Linked DNA regions of Mus musculus. The protein of the gene in region 1 purifies or fractionates together with the protein of each later gene. This does not show direct contact. Links are inferred from orthologs where the notes say so. Each region holds a gene or a part of one and is shown on either strand. Other genes may lie near its edges.

The links.
Region 2: the proteins of Wdr92 (region 1) and Cct3 purify together in Homo sapiens (affinity purification with mass spectrometry; 3 studies listed by BioGRID and IntAct, counting the BioPlex papers as one, with this or other methods). This does not show direct contact. The link is inferred for Mus musculus from reciprocal best matches to the Homo sapiens genes DNAAF10 and CCT3.
Region 3: the proteins of Wdr92 (region 1) and Polr3e purify together in Homo sapiens (affinity purification with mass spectrometry; 3 studies listed by BioGRID and IntAct, with this or other methods). This does not show direct contact. The link is inferred for Mus musculus from reciprocal best matches to the Homo sapiens genes DNAAF10 and POLR3E.
Region 4: the proteins of Wdr92 (region 1) and Polr2j purify together in Homo sapiens (affinity purification with mass spectrometry; 3 studies listed by BioGRID and IntAct, with this or other methods). This does not show direct contact. The link is inferred for Mus musculus from reciprocal best matches to the Homo sapiens genes DNAAF10 and POLR2J.

What each region holds. Positions count from the first base shown.
Region 1 is NC_000077.6:17,217,975-17,222,514, reverse strand, and holds part of Wdr92 (WD repeat-containing protein 92), read right to left. Parts: intron 3,502-4,540; coding exon 3,401-3,501; intron 319-3,400; coding exon 188-318; intron 1-187. UniProt on the Homo sapiens protein: Key assembly factor specifically required for the stability of axonemal dynein heavy chains in cytoplasm.
Region 2 is NC_000069.6:88,295,003-88,300,181, forward strand, and holds the start of Cct3 (T-complex protein 1 subunit gamma), read left to right. Parts: upstream 1-2,132; 5' UTR 2,133-2,233; coding exon 2,234-2,264; intron 2,265-4,339; coding exon 4,340-4,401; intron 4,402-5,179. Other genes in the region: Tsacc (TSSK6-activating co-chaperone protein), read right to left, coding at 389-425. UniProt on the Homo sapiens protein: Component of the chaperonin-containing T-complex (TRiC), a molecular chaperone complex that assists the folding of actin, tubulin and other proteins upon ATP hydrolysis.
Region 3 is NC_000073.6:120,934,297-120,938,836, reverse strand, and holds part of Polr3e (DNA-directed RNA polymerase III subunit RPC5), read right to left. Parts: intron 4,065-4,540; coding exon 3,944-4,064; intron 1,235-3,943; coding exon 1,153-1,234; intron 158-1,152; coding exon of another isoform or gene 68-157; exon of another isoform or gene 1-67. UniProt on the Homo sapiens protein: DNA-dependent RNA polymerase catalyzes the transcription of DNA into RNA using the four ribonucleoside triphosphates as substrates.
Region 4 is NC_000071.6:136,114,963-136,120,111, reverse strand, and holds the start of Polr2j (DNA-directed RNA polymerase II subunit RPB11), read right to left. Parts: upstream 3,422-5,149; 5' UTR 3,360-3,421; coding exon 3,307-3,359; intron 118-3,306; coding exon 28-117; intron 1-27. UniProt on the Homo sapiens protein: Core component of RNA polymerase II (Pol II), a DNA-dependent RNA polymerase which synthesizes mRNA precursors and many functional non-coding RNAs using the four ribonucleoside triphosphates as substrates.

The DNA.
Region 1 (4,540 bases):
ATACACAGAAGCTGGAACTGAATGAGAGATGTGCAATAAAACTTGTCTGTTATAATGCAGATGCACAAATAAATGCAGATGTATGGTAGATACAGAGTCAAGCCAACCAGAGGATTCTGTGTGCAGAGGATATGGCAGCACACAGAGGTTCCATTAAACATTTGCTCAGTACTTAAGACTGACTCACCATCACGGCTGCCCGTCACGATTTCAGGGGCTCCTTCCCCAATTCCAAGTCCACCTACACCATCTATGGTATTTATGATTTCTTTGTGGCCCTTTACAGAATACACTGGCATCTCTGGAGCTTCCAAGTTCCTAAGCAGAAAATACATAACTGCTTATCACATGGCCTTAAAATACATAACTGCTTATCACATGGCCTTCAAACCAATTAAACTAAAATACATAACTACTTATCACATGGCCTTAAAGCCAACTAAACTAAAATCAATAAAAACAAAAAACAATGCAAAATGGACGACTTTAACCTAAGACAGAGGCTCTGAAAACACTAGAGGAAAACACACGTGATACCCTGGATGCCAGAAGCACAGGCAAGGATTCTCTGAAACGGACTCAACAGCACAGGAAATGGACCCATCAAGACAGGAATGGATAAGGTTATAGACAATGACATGTTATTCAGCCAAGACAAAATATGAAATCATGATATTTCTACGAAAGCACACGGAAGTGGGAATTGTTTATTTTTTCTATTTTGTTTTATTTTATTTTAAGTGTATGGTGGAAGAGTGAAAATGGGTCAAAAGGGAGGGATAGAGGGAGGGGGAATTTTAAGATGGGCTGGAGAGATGGCTTAGTGGTTAAGAGCACCGATTGCTCTTCCGAAGGTCCTGAGTTCAAATCCCAGCAACCACATGGAAAAAAAATACAAAATCTGTAGACCAGGCTGGCCTCAAATTCAGAAGTCCACCTGCCTCTGCCTCCGGAGTGCTGGGTTTACAGGCCTGCGCTACCTCCACCCGGTGACCTGTCTCACGATGATCTAAACCCAGCTCACGTTCCCTATTAGTGGGTGAACAATCCAACGCCTGGTGAATTCTGCTTCACCATGATAGGAAGAGCCGACATTGAAGGATGATAAAGTGACGTGGCTATGAACGCTTGGCTGCCACAAGCCAGTTATCCCTGTGGTAACTTTTCTGACACCTCCTGATTGTTCCAACATGCCAGAGGCTGTTCACCTTGGAGACCTGCTGCGGATATCGGGTAATTGTTATATTAAGCAAATAAGCCAGAACAGGGGAAAAAAGGAGTCATGTTTCCTCTTATGCATGGAAAATAAATTTAAGATTATACACACATACACATGTGTATAAATATGCATGTATATATGTATATATACACCATAAAACCTGAAAGGTTGGCCAGGGAGGTAAAGGCACTTGTCACCAAGCCTGACAACCTGTACTGACTCCCAGATCATACAAGGCGTTAAGTGACAACAGAGTCCCAGAAGTTGTCTTCTGCTCGCTCTCAAATCCTTGTTCATGGCCATGTACACACAGAGACACAGATACAGACAGACAGAGGGACATGTGCTCTCCACTTGTGCATGGACATGGACACACACACAGACACAGACACACAGAGAGACACACATGGAATAAAGTGTGAAAATAATTTCAACAACAACAACAAAAACCTTAAAAGGGGGTCAGAAGGTATGGAGTGAGCAATGGGATAAATGATGTATCTAGTCTGAGGGATGGGGGATGTCTTTAAGCTCAGCACTTGGGAGGGAGGGGCAAACAGAGATCTGTGAGTTACAGGCCAGCTTGATCTTCACTGTGAGCTCCAGGGTAGCCAGGGCTATGTAGAGAGACTCTGTCTCAAAACAAACAAACAAACACACAAACAAACAAATAAACAAACAAACAAGCAATCAATTGTAGCTGGATCCGGCAGAGAGAGAACCAGCAATCAGGGAGCAGGCGTACGAGGGCAAATAGGAGAGGGAAATGAGTAAGATCAAAGCATATTGATACATATATATGCATATACATAACTGAAATGATGAACATCTACTACTCTATATGATAAGCCCCCCAAATAATGAAAAATAAATAAAATACAGAAAGGAAGACACTGGCCTCTCTTTTTATTTCTCTGAAGCTCTACGACAAAATATGTAAAATGATGAATATGAACTTAAGAGCTAAGCAGTTAGAGAAAGGAAAATTACACTAGCTTCACTTTTATGTTATGCTTCTAAAAATAGGTAAATATATGAACATGGTTTAACTATAAAGCAGTACAATTCGATTGACAACCGAAAGGTCTTCTTAGGTGGGGTGTGGTGGCACACTCCTTGACTCTCGTCATGAGGAGGCAGAGGCAGGTGGCGGCTTGTGAGTTCCAAGCTCGCCTGGTCTATGTAGGGATACATAGTGAGTTTTAGTTCAGCCAGAGTACACATGAACCCTGTCACCAAAATAAACACCTCATATTAGAAACAAGCTAAGGAAGGAAGGAAGGAAGGAAGGAAGGAAGGAAGGAAGGAAGGAAGGAAGGAGAGAAAGAAAGGAGAGAAAGGAAGGAAGGAAGGAAGAAAAAGAGAGAGAAAGATAAAAAGAAAGAAAGAATGAAAGAAAGAAAGAAAGAAAGAAAGAAAGAAAGAAAGAAAGCTGCTGTATACTTTAAATGCTGAAAATAGATTTTCCTAAAAAGTAATTAAAGAGAAATTTGAATTCATTTAACTTTAAGTATTAAGAAATAATTCTAAGTAAGATTTATATAAAGGCATCAGACAATTCTGTGATTTATTTATTCAAAGCCGCCTTTTATGTATTGTTCAACAGACATTTTCCTAAAAGTCATGTCTAGATCTTAAAGTATTAAATACTAACCAAAACTTTAACTGAGAGTTTTGCATGGAAAAAATTAAAATCAGTGTATCGCTCTATAAAACCAAACTTCTTGCTAAAATGGCATCTATCAATTACCAGTCCCAAACAGCCTGGGGTGTGGGGGTAAGAATCGGTAACACTGTTTCAAGTTCTAAACCAAAAACCATCTTTTTAAACCTTTGTCCTTTAACTTTTGAGGTCAAATACAATTGTATCCCCCCCCCCCCAAGCCCTTTCACAGATCCCTCTTACTCTTTCACAGTCGGCATGTTTGTTCATTGCTATTACATGCATCTATGTACACCTACATGTAATGTTATACATACACATTCCTAAATGTAATATGAAGCTTAGGATTTTAAGTGGACTTTAAATATGACAGAGATATAACACAGTCCTCATGGCTTCGGTTACTTTTAATTAAAATATTTGAAGTAAGTATTTTAAAATTAGAATTCTCTTTTAGAAGACTAATAAGCCCATCAAAGGGAGTGCTTATCCATTGCAGTACTATTTAATAATCTCACCATATATGAAGATTTCCACCAAAATCTCCAGTAGCTAAGAATCTCTGCTGCAGAGATGCGGCACCAAATGTTCCACATTTAATGGGCTTGGCCTTTTCAATCTGGACAGAAAGGAGAGAAGGATTCTTTACTTATGGAAACAGTTATTTATAATCACAATGTTGACAGCTTAGCTGTAGGGGGTTATAAATACATTATACATAAAAGCAATTAAAACATTTTCTATAAAAATTATACTTCCTTTAGTCAATTTTGTATGATTTTAAAAGTATATCACTGTCCAAAGAAAGGTAGTTTTTGTTTTGAGACAGGGTCTTACTATGTAGCCTTGGCTCTGAGCTCCTAGATCACTGTCTAGGTGCGGGTAGAGTTGATTTATTTTTACTTAATGTGTATAGGTGTTTTGCCTTCATGGAGGTGCATGCAGTACCCACAAAAGCTAGAAAAGGCTATGGGCACCCCTGGAACTGGTAGTTGCCATGTGTGTGCTGGGAGTCCAAGCCAGGCTCACTGTAGAGCAGTCAGTGACCTCAGAGCTAGCTCTCCAGTTTCGGAGACAAGGTTTCTCACTTGGTTGCTCAAATCAGACATGATTCAAACTGGTCTAAAACTGAAAGACCATGTGATTACAGGAGAGGGAAGAAGAGGGGAAATGCTGCCATCTTGAACCCCATGTAGTGGCTCACTCCTGTAGCCCCAGCACTCCAGATATGGAAGCAGAAATGCAGTTGTGAGTTCCAGGTCAGGCAAGGCTACACAGTGAATTTTAGGTCACACTAGGCTACAAAGACATCTTTAATCTTCCCACTCACAATCCCAAAAGCTCTCCCATCTCTGCTAGTGCCAGGTTGGTACTGTGCTAACCTCTCAAATACAAGGGATACATCGTTTTGTGAAGGCTACAGGAACAAACATGTCCATGAGCCTCTTGTAGTCCTAGCTACAGAATCCGGTTGGTGTTCAGTGCTCTCTGAATGAGGGCATAAGGAAGCCCCCATTAGCCCTTCAGCACTAATTCTTGGGACAGCGAAGCCAACGCCACAATACTCCTCTCCCATCCTCCCTTTTCATCCTCTGGATTTTATGTGCCATGTGTCTAGGATGGTGTTTGGTGTCATTTGCTAAAGATCATGGAAACTT
Region 2 (5,179 bases), on another chromosome or scaffold:
TATCCCACAAGTACTTTCCAAGTAACCAAGTAGCAGGCCACTGTTTAGTGGCAAATGTTTAGTCATTTCTGAAACCCTGAGTGAATGGGGAAGGCTGGCTTCTGAGGGAGGGGACACAGGGGCTGTGACACACCTTTTTCCTTAGTTTCATTTCTGAAACCCTGAGTGAATGGGGAAGGCTGGCTTCTGAGGGAGGGGACACAGGGGCTGTGACACACCTTTTTCCTTAGTTTCATTTCTGAAACCCTGAGTGAATGGGGAAGGCTGGCTTCTGAGGGAGGGGACACAGGGGCTGTGACACACCTTTTTCCTTAGTTTCATTTCTGAAACCCTGAGTGAATGGGGAAGGCTGGCTTCTGAGGGAGGGGACACAGGGGCTGTGACACACCTTTTTCCTTAGTAGGGTTACTAGTGTGCTGCTCCATCTTGACAGCAACAGGTCTGGTGCCTGGGAAAGAATAATAGGGTCACATGGTCAAACAACAGTGTCTTCTTTCCTAAGCACTCCCCTGAAAGCCCGAAGTGTAACAGTATATAACAGTGTATACACTATCTCATAGAGGTGTCTGGTTTTAAATGTAAAATTTTTAAGTTTTAATTATGTGAATATGTACATATATGAGTAGATCTCCCTTGAGTGAGAGGTGACTGTGAGCAGCCAGACATCAGTTCAAGGAATTGTGCTGAGGTTCTCTGCAAGAGCAATATACCCTCTAAGCCCACTGAGCCTTCCCTCCAGGCTGCCTCCCTTATGTGGTCCAGGGAGACTGAAGCCACTGAAAATCGCTATCCTCTTGACTCAGCCTCTGGAGTTTATTACAGGGGTGTGCTACCACACCAAACAAACAACTGTTCTGAAATTGTTAATTTTTCTCCAATTCCCTTCGGCAGTTTTTGTTAGTGCCTTTTCACTGCAGAAGACAAAGCATACCAAATACGAACTTTAAATCTATCACAAACATGTCATGACTCTTTGAGACTTCTGTTTAATTACTAGCCTTATTTTTTTTGTTGTTTTGTTTTGTCTTTTTCCTATATGGGGTGATCTGGCAAGAGGCTTGTCTCCAGTTTGAGATCAGCCTGGTCTTTACGACGAGTTTTAGGCCAGCCTTAGAACTCTGGTAAAGATAATACGGTAATTAAAAAAACAAAAACTCTAGTTTCTTTTGTCACTAACCAGTGACCAGGCTGGGGGGGAGGGGGCGAAGAAGACTCATAATACTGCAAGAAACACGACTTAGGATATTCGGGGGAAATGTGAGCGATCCTCCTTTATGTCTTTTTGCCTTAGACTCAACGTATTTTTCTAAGAAGTAAGACATTAGGACAGGAGAGATAGCTCAACAGTTAAGAGCAATAGATGGTCCCGCAGACAGGGTTACTTCCTAGCACCCACGTGGCGGTTCACAATCAATTCCAGTTCCAGAGGATCAGACTCCCGCTTGATCGCCTCTCACAAGTGGTGCACCTACATACGCACAGGCAAAACAACCATACACATAAAATAAAAAATAGGTACATCTAAAGAACAAGAATTTTCCTTCCTTTTCTTTAAAAAAGAAAACCAGCGCGTCTAGAGCAGTAAACCACAACTCCCAGCATGCTCCGGGGAGGCGGGGAGCCGAGTCGTTGCCTCCCCGCCCCGTAGGACAACTTCCACTTTTACACTGCCTCAATCTCTCGGGCCACGACGGGTATTTCTGGCTCCTCTACTCCTCCCTACCGCTAAGGCTGAAATAAAAAGTAGAGAACTATCATGCCTTCCTTGGCCTTCACGGTCGGACGAGAACCGATGGACAAAACAGAGCTTCATGATCTTACCTACAGCATTAATCCAAAGCCTCCACCCCAGCACCCACCCTCTAGTGGGTACTCATGCGCTGTAGCGAGCCAGCTAACTGCCCGTGCTTTGGCGCTTGCGCAGACATTCTGGCCGCACGCGGCCGGGAGCGGCCACGCCAGTGCGCAAGCGCTTGCGTCTCCCAGTCCCCTACATCATGCCCTCTCTATCTAACTTGCCTTGCCTTTCTTGCGTAGAGGGCGGGGCTAATACTGTCGATTGGCCTATGTTTTTGTCAATCAATAAAATGAGTTTGGTGATTGGCGGCACTTCAGAGGTTAGCAGGTTTCTGTGTCATTCCTGAGGAGGCAGCGTTTTCTTCGCTGCTCTTCTCTCCAGAAGGTTCTGCCGATTCCCCCCAGCTCTGGAGAGTCGGCTCTGCGTCGTGCCGCCATGATGGGCCACCGTCCAGTGCTCGTGCTCAGTGAGTTCAGGGAAGGGATGTCTCTCTCCGCCCCTCTCTCCCCAAGCTGGCCAGTGTTGCCCAGCTCCGTCCCGCCATGACTCGGCCCTCGTGCCTTCCAGTGGTCTTTTCGCCTTGGACCAAGCTCCTTCCCCACTTTTCTTCTCTTGCCTCTCCTGTCGCCTTCTTTTGACAAAATGACTTTCCGCTCTCGGAGTCGCTAGTCTTTACGTGTGCTTCATCCTATTCGCGTTCGGTTCTTTAGTCGCCACCCTCCACGCCCCCGTGTCCTTTACAGCATGATTTCCGTGTAGATAGTAATGATGGTTCTTAACGGTAGGCCTTGCTTCCTATGCTCGGTCCATCCCTCCGTAGAGGCGTGACTTAACGGCAACTCGCTTGATTGATACTTTAGCATCAGTATTTAGGAGGCTGTAGTAGAGTTGTTAAGTTGATAAGTAAAAGCTGCCTTTACCGGCAGATCGAATCGGAAGTGGCATCTTTTCAGTAGCGGTCATTCAGCAACCCTTGTTCGGAAATGACATTCCTGGCGTTCCCGATCTTGGATGTGATCTTTCCCACCAGCCAGTTCTCCCAAATTCCTTTCCTGGTTTTCTTTCCTCTTTAGGGAACGCCACTCATCTCAGTAAAGAGCACCAGTTCCTTGTCAGTTACCTGAGCTATTGAGAATAACTCAGTAAGCCTGGGTCAAAGTTAAACATAGTAAAGAGAAAAACAGATTTAGTCTGGCCACACTGGGAGGAGAGACAAAGGTGTTCAGTGACACTACCTCTCCTACACACTCGTAGACGAGTCCATGAGGTTTTAAGCAGCAGGCCAGATTTGTAAGAAGTCATTATTTTCTGCTCTAGTCTCCTGAGAGAAGTTTACCTACAGGGTGGCTCTCAGGCTTTAGTCTTTTTCCTGTTCTATCGTGAGATTCCTTGGCTTGTGATTGATATTTTGTTTGTTTTCGTCTGTGTATGGCACCAAGATTCCCTGGAATTGGAGTTACAGGCAGTTGTGAGCCACCTTGAGGGGCTGGGAATTGAAGCTGAACCATCTTTCCAGCCTCACAAGCAGACTTTCTTGGTCACTAATCTTTGAGACTCTGTGGCTCCTCTTCCCGGGGATGTTGTAAGGGGTGTGCAGTCTTGTGAAAAATCACTGTCCTACTGAGGCCCATTCAGGGCACTCAAGATATGAATCACTGGAAATATGTAAGCATGCATACAAGGAAAGTACTGGTCAAGACTATGAAGTTGAAGCATTTCAGGTTATCTCTTATTATACCGGGGGTTCTCTCATTATCTGTGTTTTTTGCCTGCCTCTATGTCTGTGCCTGCAGACACCAGAAAAGGACATCAGATCCCCTGGAACTGTAGTTAGAGATGATTGTGAGCTACCATGTTGGTGCTGGAAATGAATGCAGAGATCTCTGCAAGAGCTTCCAAAGGTTTTAACTACCAGGCCATCTCACTTCGTAACTGGCTAGCCTGGAACTAACTCACTTTATAAACCAAGTTGGTTGGTGTTCAAGTCACAGAAATCCATCTGCATCAGTGCTCGGATTAAAGGCATATGCTACCACGCTCAACCTTAAACAGTTGTAATTGACTGCTGGTTATACACTGAAAACTTTGTATTTATTTTTATTTTCAAAACTTGATGAATAGGGTTGGTGGTAGGATGGCTCAACAGGTTTAAAAAAAAAAAAAAAGCTCCTGACACTAAGCCTAATAATAACTGGAGGTCTTTTTGTTGTTGCTATTTTTGTTTGTTTGTTTGTTTGTTTGTTTGTTTCATTTGAGGCAGGTTCTCTATATATATGCCAAGTCACAGAGATACTCCTGACTCTGCCGTAAGTGCTGGGGTCAAAGGCATGCACCACCCTACCTGACTTGGATGACCAAGTTTGATCCCTGGCACCCATGTGATAGAAAGAAAATTAACTCTGAAAGTTGTTTTCTGACCTCACAGTTTTGCCAAGCATTTGTACACCTGATATATACATTAAAATGTAGCATTTTTTTTAAGTTAGGAAATAAAATGATTGTGTACACTGGGCTGTTGACATGTGTTTTTGTCTGTTTTAGGTCAGAACACAAAGCGTGAATCTGGAAGAAAAGTTCAGTCTGGAAATATCAATGCTGCAAAGGTAGTGCATGTTTTATGAGATAACAGCAGTTTGTTCTGGCTGACTCTCCTAATACTTCCTTATTGGTAGTAGCAAACTTCCTATGGTTCTGTACTTCATACAATGAGCAGAGGAAAACTTGCTTTTTTTTTCCAAGGCATTTCCCTGGTGGTGATACAGGAAGGGAGGTTTTTAAAAGATTTGCTTGTTTTACTTTACTGTTGGAGTGTTTTGCCTCCATGCATGTATGTATGTGTGTACATGGCATGGAAGCATAGAGGAGGTGGTCAGATCCCCCTGAAACCGGAGCTACAGGCCATTGTGAAAGTTCCCGTATCAGTGCTAGGACTTTAATCTAGGTCCTCTGAAAGAGCCCTGTCCCCTCTTGTTTGGGTAGCCTAGAATTTACTGCGTATAGTAGGTTGTCCTTGAACTCATGGATCTACTTGCCTCTGTCTCCCAAATCCTGGGGCTAAAATCATGTGCCACCACTCTGAGCTCAGTAAGTATATTTTTGAGTGAATGATTAGAAGTCTTGATTTCATGTGGACCAGAGGCCACTGTCAATAAAAGTATTAATGCTGAACTCTTAGGACACTAAAACTGAAATAGCTTCTGAAAATTTATTTGTTGTGTCTAAAATAGTTACCATTCTCGTCGTTAAGTGCCATTGTTAAACAGTGGCACTGGCTGGAGAGATGGCTGAATAGTTAAGAACACTTGCTACTCTTTTTTGTTTGTTTGTTTGTTTGTTTGTTTGTTTTTTTCAAGACAGGATTTCTCTGTGTGGCTCTGGCTG
Region 3 (4,540 bases), on another chromosome or scaffold:
AGATGTTACAGATGTGTTCTCTCCTCCAAGAAGGCTGGGCTGCCTCATTCAATCCAAAACAAAGTATTCAGTGGACGAGGCCTTGGCCATCTGGTTCATTCTTGCATCCCCAGGGCCTCCTGAGAGCATCGTGAGAATTCAGCACCAAGATGCTGCCCTATGCATGGAGACATTCCACTGTGGCAGCAACTGGTAGTTGGCATGGCTTCCCAGAGGCTCCAGCTCCCACAGCTCTCGCTGCCTCATCAGCTGTCATGTCCCTGACCTACCTCACAGGAATACTCTCGAGAGGGGAAGTATTCTCAGTATTCACTGAGAGCCAAGAGGAAAGGATGGCTACTTGTTGTCTATAGTAACACTTCGTATACACTTGCGGGCTCCAACCCAACGGTATGCGAACACTAGAAAAGCAGCCAAAGCCAAAGGGCACTTGGCATGAGTGAATGAGGCCGGCTGGGAGCTGCACTCCTATGCCCCAAGTCAGACTCCGGAGGCCCCTCAACACAGACGTCCCCAAAAGCTAAGAATACCTAGTCAGAAGAGCAAACACAGCTGTCCTCAAACAATCTAAGGACTGCTTCCCTTCAGGACAAGCCTGTGCAGGGCACAAGGGCCCACATGAACAGCTCTAAGCAGCCACATTTCAGCAAATTCAATGTGTAAATGCCAAGGGTTAGAGGGTAGTACAGATTCCAGAGACTTGAGCTTAAAGACCCTGGGAGGGACTTAAGTTCTGGATATAAAACAGGGCAGGGTGAGAGAAAGGAAGGATGAATTAACTCAGAAGTCATAAACCCCAGAAAAGTAGCAAGGAATAAGTGCCAGACTATAGTGATATGAAACTATTGGTGCCAGCCATCCAAAGCAGGGGCTGGGCAGGGCTCTGGACCCAATGCTATCAGACTGTCAATCACTCATGACATCTGAAAACCCAACTTAAGTCTGCAGCCAAGGTGAGCTTTGTAATACACCACTTAACCACATGAACCCCACACACAGATTGAGCCAGCAGGGTCTTCATCAGCCCAGAATGACCAGAGGACAAAAGAGCACCAGCTGGAGTCCCACAGTGAGCTCCCTGCTGGAGCTCACTGCCTGCTTTGGATTCTCTCCCTCCACCCTGGACCCTGTGGCCAGAGCCTAGATACTCACAACAAAGTCTCGGCCCCTGCAGAGCACCTCAGCAGGCATGCCACTGTGAGGGCTGGAAGAATCCTTGGGATACAGGATGTCACTGGCAAACAAGCAGACGTAGCTGGTCAGTCCCTGTCTATGGTCCCACCACCCCCACATCCTACTTTAGAAGCCCAGGGCTTACAGTCTGAGCCAATCCAGGTCGCATCCTTTCATAGCAACAGGCCTGAGTCTGCAGGCCCAGGAAGTCATGGGAAAGAGCAAGCCCTTCCCAACAAACACATCACAGACTGGCCTGACCCCAGGGGGGAGTTAGGGGCTCACAGACACACACACAAGCCTGGAACCTCAAGGAGCCCAGGACTCTTGAGAAGACTGACCTCACAAGTCACATGTTTGTGGCTGTAAGAGAAACGAGTGCTAAAGCCAGTTAAAAGGCCTCTCCTGCCTGCCTAAGTGGATATGTGTCAGCTGTCAGAGGCTGGACCTGACTCCCCTAGAACATCAAAGAATAAAGACTGTGCCTGGGGCCCAGAGGTCCTCAGCGTAGAGGCCTGGAGGCACACGAACAGACAGTCCCTACTATGTGACTCTCACACTTCCTCCAGCCACAGCCCCAGGGTCAGCTTTTAACGGCTCCTCTGCTGGAGATCTTCCCTTCATACCTGCCAGTCCTGAGCAACTCATACTCCAAGGTTAAACTCCATGGGTATAGACCTGGCAAAGTGTTCTTGGCTGTCACATGGAGAAAGAGCCCATTGTCAACTAAACCTAGACAGACACATGTTGTGGGCCCCTATACTTTAAGGACAGCGAGAACATTCAATGGTGGCACACACAGCACAGAACATTTAAGTAAGACATTTGAATCAAGCTGAGTTTAAACACAAAGATAGATCTGGCTGGAAAGATTATGACTCACACCCAGTAGCCTCAACACCCAAGAAAAGGCTTACAGAAATCCTTGCAATATGCAGGACACCCAAGCTGATAAGCCATACTTCAATAGCTAGGCCTCCCACGACAAAAACAGCACAGGCAGAAGCCAGGCTGAGTCTCCGAGCTCAAACACGGCTCTGTAGGTGCCTTGGGAGATATACACAAGTCCTGGGCCTCTTTTGGTTAGTGTCTTCAGGAGTGTGTGATGCAACAGCCCTTCCTGGTTTTACAGTGTAAATACAAGTAGTATTCACCCTCACATTTAACAAGCAATGTGCCATGACAAAATTCTTCCATACAGAAAACTGGATAATCCAACAGCAAGATATATTTACCTGTAAATGGCACCACCATGTAAGAGGAATACACTTTACCATCAGGTTGGCAATCAAATGAAGGGCTTAATGAAATGAATGTTTTGAATTTTAGAACTATTCACATTTTATATTGTTCATACTACACTGTTCAAAGCCTGGGGTTAATGTATTAACTATAACACCACCTCATTATAATTAAAGTATGCATTTCCTGGGGTTGGTTTAGTGTGTTCCAGGCATTATACAATGATCTAAGAATGTAAGGAAATAATAGCACAGACTATCTCTACTCCCTCAGAACTGATGATCTGATGGGAAACCAGAGGAGAAAGGAGGCTGCTGAAACTAAGCCACAAAATCATGACCTGAACCCCACAGGCAACATAAAAAGCAAACCAAACATAGACACTTCTTTTGTTTGTTTGTTTGTTTGTTTGTTTCTCTGTGTAGCCTTGCCTGTCCTGGGACTCACTCTGTAGCCCTGGCTGTCCTGGGACTCACCCTGTAGACCAGGCTGGCCTCGAACTCAGAAATCCGCCTGCCTCTGCCTGCGTAGCCACTTCTTAACATAACAGTGGAAAGCCAGGACAAAGAGAAAGGCTTCAAAGCAACCAGAGGAGGACAAAGATCAAAGCACAAGGATCAGGTTCACAGTGGGCTTTCAGTAACAACTGACGTCATAACACAGAGTGCGGCTGGGGAGACAGCTCACAGGATGAAGCACTTGCTGCCCAAGGGTGAGGACCACAGTAGGACAGCTCAGCAGTCCAGAGCACGCACTGCTCTAGCAGAGGACCCGAGTCTGTCTCCCAGTCCCCACTCCAGAGGGACCTGACTCCTCTGGCCTCCACGGGCACCTATACTCACCTACAACTACCCACAGACATATACTCAAAACTCATGCAGCCACCTGTAATCCCTAGATACCCACAGCAAACTGGCCAGCTAAACTAATGAAGATGGGGGAAAACTCCAGGTTCAGGGAGAAATCCTGCGTAAAGGAGAAAGCAACCAAGAAAGACACTTGACCTCAACACTGGGCCTCAACACACATATTCCTATACATTTATGTAAAGCGCACACACAGAAAATACATCAATGCATGAAGAAAGAACTATCACTAACTTAAAAGCTGAGGAAAGCTATTACTGCAGACCTGTATTAAATACTATAGCACTCTTTGGGAAGATTGAAATGATTCCTGATGGGAATTCAGATGTACACTGGAATAAAAATACAATACAAAAGGCAGACATGTGAGTAAGCCTAAGAACACTGGCTGCATAAAGTCTTGTGGGCCTGAAAATATAGACACGATTAAAATATACATGTGGGAGGTGAACAGCTAAAATAGTCTAAGATTTTGAGCTGTCTTGGAAGAAAGTAAAAAGCAATTGACATGCAGCAGAGCATGCCAAAACTGTAGGGAACCAATAAAGAGTTAAGAGACTAACTCCCAAATTTGTATAAAAAAATGGAAGAGTCCTGGAAGAGGTAAAACGCAACTAGGCAGAACACCAACAGCATTCCATTCAGACTCCCAAGCAGCTTACCTCTTTACCACCCAGTTTCCTTGGACTAACATCGCCACCTTCTGGATGCCACGTAGAACAGCCACAGAGTCCACAGAGGGGCCCAGGAGGCTCATGAGATTAGCGAAGGGCATGACTTTCACTGAGGTGGAAAGACAAAAGACACAACTCACTAGGTAAAGTGCGAGACCTGACCCTTCTCTCTTCCCCAGCAAATGTTTCTAGAGCATTAAGATCCCAGGCCCTGCAACTCCTAGTAACGTGAATAACTGCAATGGCACCAGCAGTCACCACAGCAGTGGCCGAACGTTATGGCCTGGCCTCTTGCCTTCCACAGAACAAATGTCAGGATCTATGTGGAAATCTAAGGAGTACAGAAGATTCTGTCACTATTAGACCCAGAAAGAGTTGAACCCCACCACCACCACCACCACATTCCAGCTGGTTGGAAAAAGCAGAGACAGGATTTGAACCCAGGTCACTTGTAATGCCTCTGGAACTCAGGGCAAAACCTGGAAAAAGCCCAGAGTCCAGAGTCCTCTATAGAAGCCTGGAGAGGCAGGGAGCCCCTAGTTGTATCCAGGCCTAAAGACTTCTTAGAGGAGCCTAGAGTTTGGA
Region 4 (5,149 bases), on another chromosome or scaffold:
CCCCGGCCGGCCGTGCGGAAGACTTACGATTTAATGATGTTCCCCAGAGTGTGGTCTTCTTTGTTGATGGTGAACAAGCAGGCGTTGGGAACCTTAGTGTCCTTGTTAATGGTGATTCTGGAAGAGACGGCGGGAAGAGCTCAAGCCCACATCCAGCCTCGGGCGTGATACTGGCCCTCAGCCAGCCATGTGCCCTGGGGGTCACCATGTCCCCATCTGTGGTCAAATATTCTTGAAACTGCAGTTGGGCTGTTCCCACTACCTCAGAAATAAGGTACCTGGCCCTTCCCCACTGATGAACAGTTCCCTAAACTAGCTCTTGACTAAATTTTTACTTACAGGACATGAACCAACTAGTTGTAGTAGCATACGCCTTTGATCCCAGCATCTAGAAGGCAGAGGCAGGTAGATCTTTGAGTTTGAGGCCAGCCTGGGCCACACAGAAAACCCGTCTTGGAGTGGGTACAGGGGAGAGACCAGGAGACACTTAACCCCCAAGGCCCCTCACAATCAAGGTAGGCCCAGGTCTATCATTCTGCAAGCCCTACTATCTATCCCCAATGGCTACTGGAGTTGCACCTTGGGTTTTGAGCGTGCTAAGCAAAGCCCTCAACCACTGAGCTACAGGTCTAGCCCTGGGAGGCCTTTTTCAGTCTACTCACCAGTAAAGGACTCAGAGCTCTGGCATGGTTCAGTGGCCAACCATTAACCTCCCATGTGTAAGTCTCTGGGTCTCATCTCCACCACTCCCACCGTCCAAACAATAAACAAGGTAGGCCTGCCTGGTAGTTCAGACCAGTAATCCCAGCAATTTGGGAGGCTGAGGCAGGAGGATAGAGAAACACCTCAGCCATCACCCTGGCCTTTCTCTTTGCTTAAGGTAGAATCTCATTTGCCAATGGACACACTGTGCTTGTCTCCACTTCCCATGCCCCTGGAGAAACACTGGAAGCAGAACTCAGATCTACACACAAGTCCTCAGCATGACAATCAATCAATCAATAAATGCTAACAAGGAACCGCCTCTCCCCTGTGATGGCCTCCTATTTATATACCAGGGAGCATGGACTTAGCAGTCCTTGTTTTTGTTTGTTTTTTTTGAGACTACATTTCTTCGTACTTGATCTGTAGACCAGGCTGGCCTTGATCCCCCTGCCTCTGCCTCCCAAGTGCTGGGATTAAAGGTGGATTAAAATCCACCGCTCAGTTAAGGATTGCTCCTTTTTTCAAACTCGGTACACAAATATTTTCTTACTTTGTCCACGCCTGTCTGAGATAAGAGGACAACCTGTAATTGTCAGGTCTCTCCTGGTACCATAGTGGTCCCAGGGACTGAACTCAAGTCATCAGGCTTGCCTGCGGGTGCCTGCGCTCAAGCCATGTTGCCAGCCCAGAACATGGATGTTTTGGACCTGATTGTCCTTTTCTGGGAGCCTGTCTACTGCACCAAGGGTTGTTATCAGCATCCCTTGCTGCTATCCACCCGCTGCCAATACCAACGTGCCTGGGACAACCAGAACCTTTTCCAGATGGCCAAATGCTCTTGCTCATGGGACAACAACCGGGCTCTCAGTTGAGAATATGCCCCCAAGGAAGGCTGAAGTAGCTATCAAATGTCAATCACAAAACCCTGCCTCTTAGGAATGAGCAGTGTCGGCTACAGGTCTGCAGTGTACACTGTACTGGCAAACTCGGAGGATCTTGAAGAACTTCATTATTTATTGACTGATTGATACAGGGATGAAATGAGCCCCGTGCATGCTAGGTAAGCAATCTACCACTGGGGTATACCTCTGAGAGGCCAAATCTACTCCATCTTGGGACCTGCTACCTCCATCTTAAAGAAAAAAAAAAAAGCCGGGCGTGGTGGTGCATGCCTTTAATCCCAGCACTCTGGAGGCATTGGCAGGCGGATTTCTGGGTTTGAGGCCAGCCTGGTCTACAAAGTGAGTTCCAGGACAGCCAGGGCTATACAGAGAAACCCTGTCTTGAACCCCCCCCCCCCCCCGCAAAAAAAGCCTGAGAACTTGACCTACAGCAGAACCCAAGATGCAACCAAGTACCAGGAAGGACCTCACGGCTTGTCCCTTGGCCCATACCCCAGAGTTACTCCCTAGCAACAGTTAATCAAAGATTAGTCTGGTTGCTTCAGATCTACTTTCAGATAGTTTGTGATTGTTCATCTCCCTTCACAGCACCACCTGTCAGCTTACAACAGACATTCAGTTAGATACCTGCCAAGCTCCATACCCCGTCACTCCCACTCCCTAGAAAACCTTGTCCTGGGTTCAAGGCTGCTCTGCCTTCTCTTCCTGTCCTGTTGTGTCAGGGTTGGGTTGGAGGAGAGCCCAAGCCCGAGCTTGTGATAAAGAGACCCTAATGGAAACGGCTCCTTAATGATCTTTTGGGGTTCACAAACGATTCCTAGCACACCTCCATACCTTTTTCCCACTGAGATAGAGACTAAGCTGACTTCCAAGAAGGGGCACACACACGAGAGAAGGGTTACACAAGAGAGAAGGGTTCGTAGCAAACTTTGAGTCATCAAAAGAGTGTATTTGGCTACCATTAAGACAATTACATAAAGCCAGAGCCGGTGGCTCAGGCCGTTAATCCCAGGTAGAAGCAGGTGGATCGCTGAGTTTGAGGCTAGTCTGGTCTGCAAAGCTCGTTCCAAGACAGTCAAGGAGGATACACAGAGAAACCCTACCTCCAAAAGACAATTAGATGCTTAATCTCTAAACCTGTAGCCACTCGAGTGCAAAGTACTTCCCCCTGCTCTCTGAATGCACACAGACCCAACTTGCGTCTGTCTTACTTTCTTAGCGCTCTCTTCCTCTGAACCCTCCTGCTTAAGCCCATATTAAAGTATCTTTAATTAAAAACCCACCAATCCTGCTTCACTAAACCGAAGAGTCCTGAAATTCTTTTTAGCGTGGAGCCACGAACCCGGGTTTGGCCTAAGTCGGGATCCCTGAAAATCTAGGAGAAACCCTCAGGTTGCTGAGGAGTGTAAGAGAGCTGTGTCTCTGTCCCTTCACAGCTGTCATCATGAACCAAGTGTCTGGAGCAAGACACTCCATGTCCCAGAGCCTCCGATTTCCCACTGCAAAATGCATGCACGCGCCAGTGCTTCGCGCCGCTGCCTGAAGCTGGGCAGACTCGCATTGAGCAGCACGGAAGACTCAAAGCAAAGCCCGCCTCCCGCCTCGGTTTCCCCAGACAGGAGCAGTGCGGCGCTCCAGCGGAGCTGACGGCCGGCAGGCTCCTATGCAACCGTCCCCGCCTCCGCCGGCCTCCACTTACTTCTTCTCGCCCTCGAAGAGCAAGAACGACTCGAAGGCCGGAGGAGCGTTCATCCTAGCGCCGCGCTCTCGCTCCCCGACACCAACCCACAGTCTCCTTCCGCCAACAGAGCCCCGAAGCGCGACCACTTCCGGATTTCTCAGCCGCAGCCAATCAGTGTAAGCACCTGGCCCCCGCCCCCTAGCGGCTCGGATGACCTAATGCAGGCGCAGGCAAGGCTGAGGGCGAGCCGTGCGCATGCGTCAGTTTAGAACCCTTGTTCGAGGCGTCCATGCTGAGTGTTTTGGCGCGTGCTCCCGCGCCCGGAGTTGAGCCACCTGTAGCTGGCTCCCCGGTACCGACTGAATGGGACTAAGAGTCTAAGTGGGCTGCTGCTGCAGGACCCCCGGGTGGGCCGACACTGGCGGACTTATGAGGCCTTCTAGATGAGGACCAGTGGAGCAAGAAGGGATGTAAAGGTTGGGGAGGAGCTTGGGGTACCAGCGCATCTTCTCTTGAGCACACAGGTAACTAAAAACACGATGAAAGCTTTGCACCTCGCCATTTTTCAGCGGTCTCTGTAGCAATCTTTTATTTTTCCTATTTTTAAAGATTTTTATTTGCATATCTTGTATGGGCACGTATATGCAGGTGCCTTTGGAGACCAGAAGAGGGTTGGGTCACCTGGAGCTGGAGTTACAGGTGGTTGTGAGCCCCCCCTGCCCCAGTGGGTGCTGGGAACCGAACTCCAGTCCCCTGCAGGAGCAGTAAGACCCTTAACTGCTGAGCCATTTCTCCAGCCTCCCTGATGGCTCATCTTGTCAACCGGATGAAATTTAGAATCATCCTAGAAACAAACCCCTAGGAGGGGCCAGCAAGACAGCCCAGTGGGCAAGGGGGAGTGTGACCAAATCTGATTACCTAAATTCAGTCCCCAGAACCCACGTGGTGGTAGAGAACAGACTTCTCCGACCTCCCTTCACGGTATGCATTTACACATGTGTGCACTCACAATAGAGAATAATAATCATAACCATAATAAAGAACGTTTGGTTGTCTTTGGGATTCTAGACAGATTTGACTGAGGAAGACAGACGTGTATGGCATCATCCTAGAGGCTCAGGAGTCAGACTACAGCTTCCTGGCGCAGATGCAGTGTGCTTGGCTGCCTGGGAATCCTGTTGCTATGACATCTGCATTGTATACCCTTCCTTAAGATGCTTCTGGTTGGTTGTTTTTTTGTTTTTTTTTTTTGGGGGGGGGGTTCGAGACAGGGTTTCTCTGTGTAGCCCTGGCTGTCCTGGAGCTCACTTTGTAGACCAGGCTGGCCTCAAACTCAGAAATCCGACTGCCTCTGCCTCCCGAGTGCTGGGATTAAAGGCATGGACCACCACGCCTGGCTGCTTCTGGTTGTTGTTGTCTTGGTTTTGTTTGTTTTTCAAGACAAGTGTTTCTCTGTGCAACCCTGGCAGTCCTGAAACTTGCTCTGTAGATCAAGCTGGCATCGAACTCAGAAAGCTGCCTGCCTCCATCTCCAAGAGTGCTGGCATTAAAGGCGTAAGCCAGCAGCACCAGGACTTCTGTTCAGTTTTCAGACACAACAACAAGAACAGTAACTAATACAGACTCAGTCTCCCAAGCGTTGGAGCCACAGGCATGAGCCATCCTGTCCATTGGTATCTGAGTGCTGAAGCACCACTGGGTGATGGAAGTGTCACAGGAATCAAGCGAAGACGATGATGTCAGGTCCTGGAAGGCTCTGGGGCCCTTCGCATGCTGGGTCACACTCCACTTTGCCTCTGCACATGGGCATATTACTTCTGGAGTGTCAAAGTAGTGATGCCTAAGCCAGCTCAGCCACCTT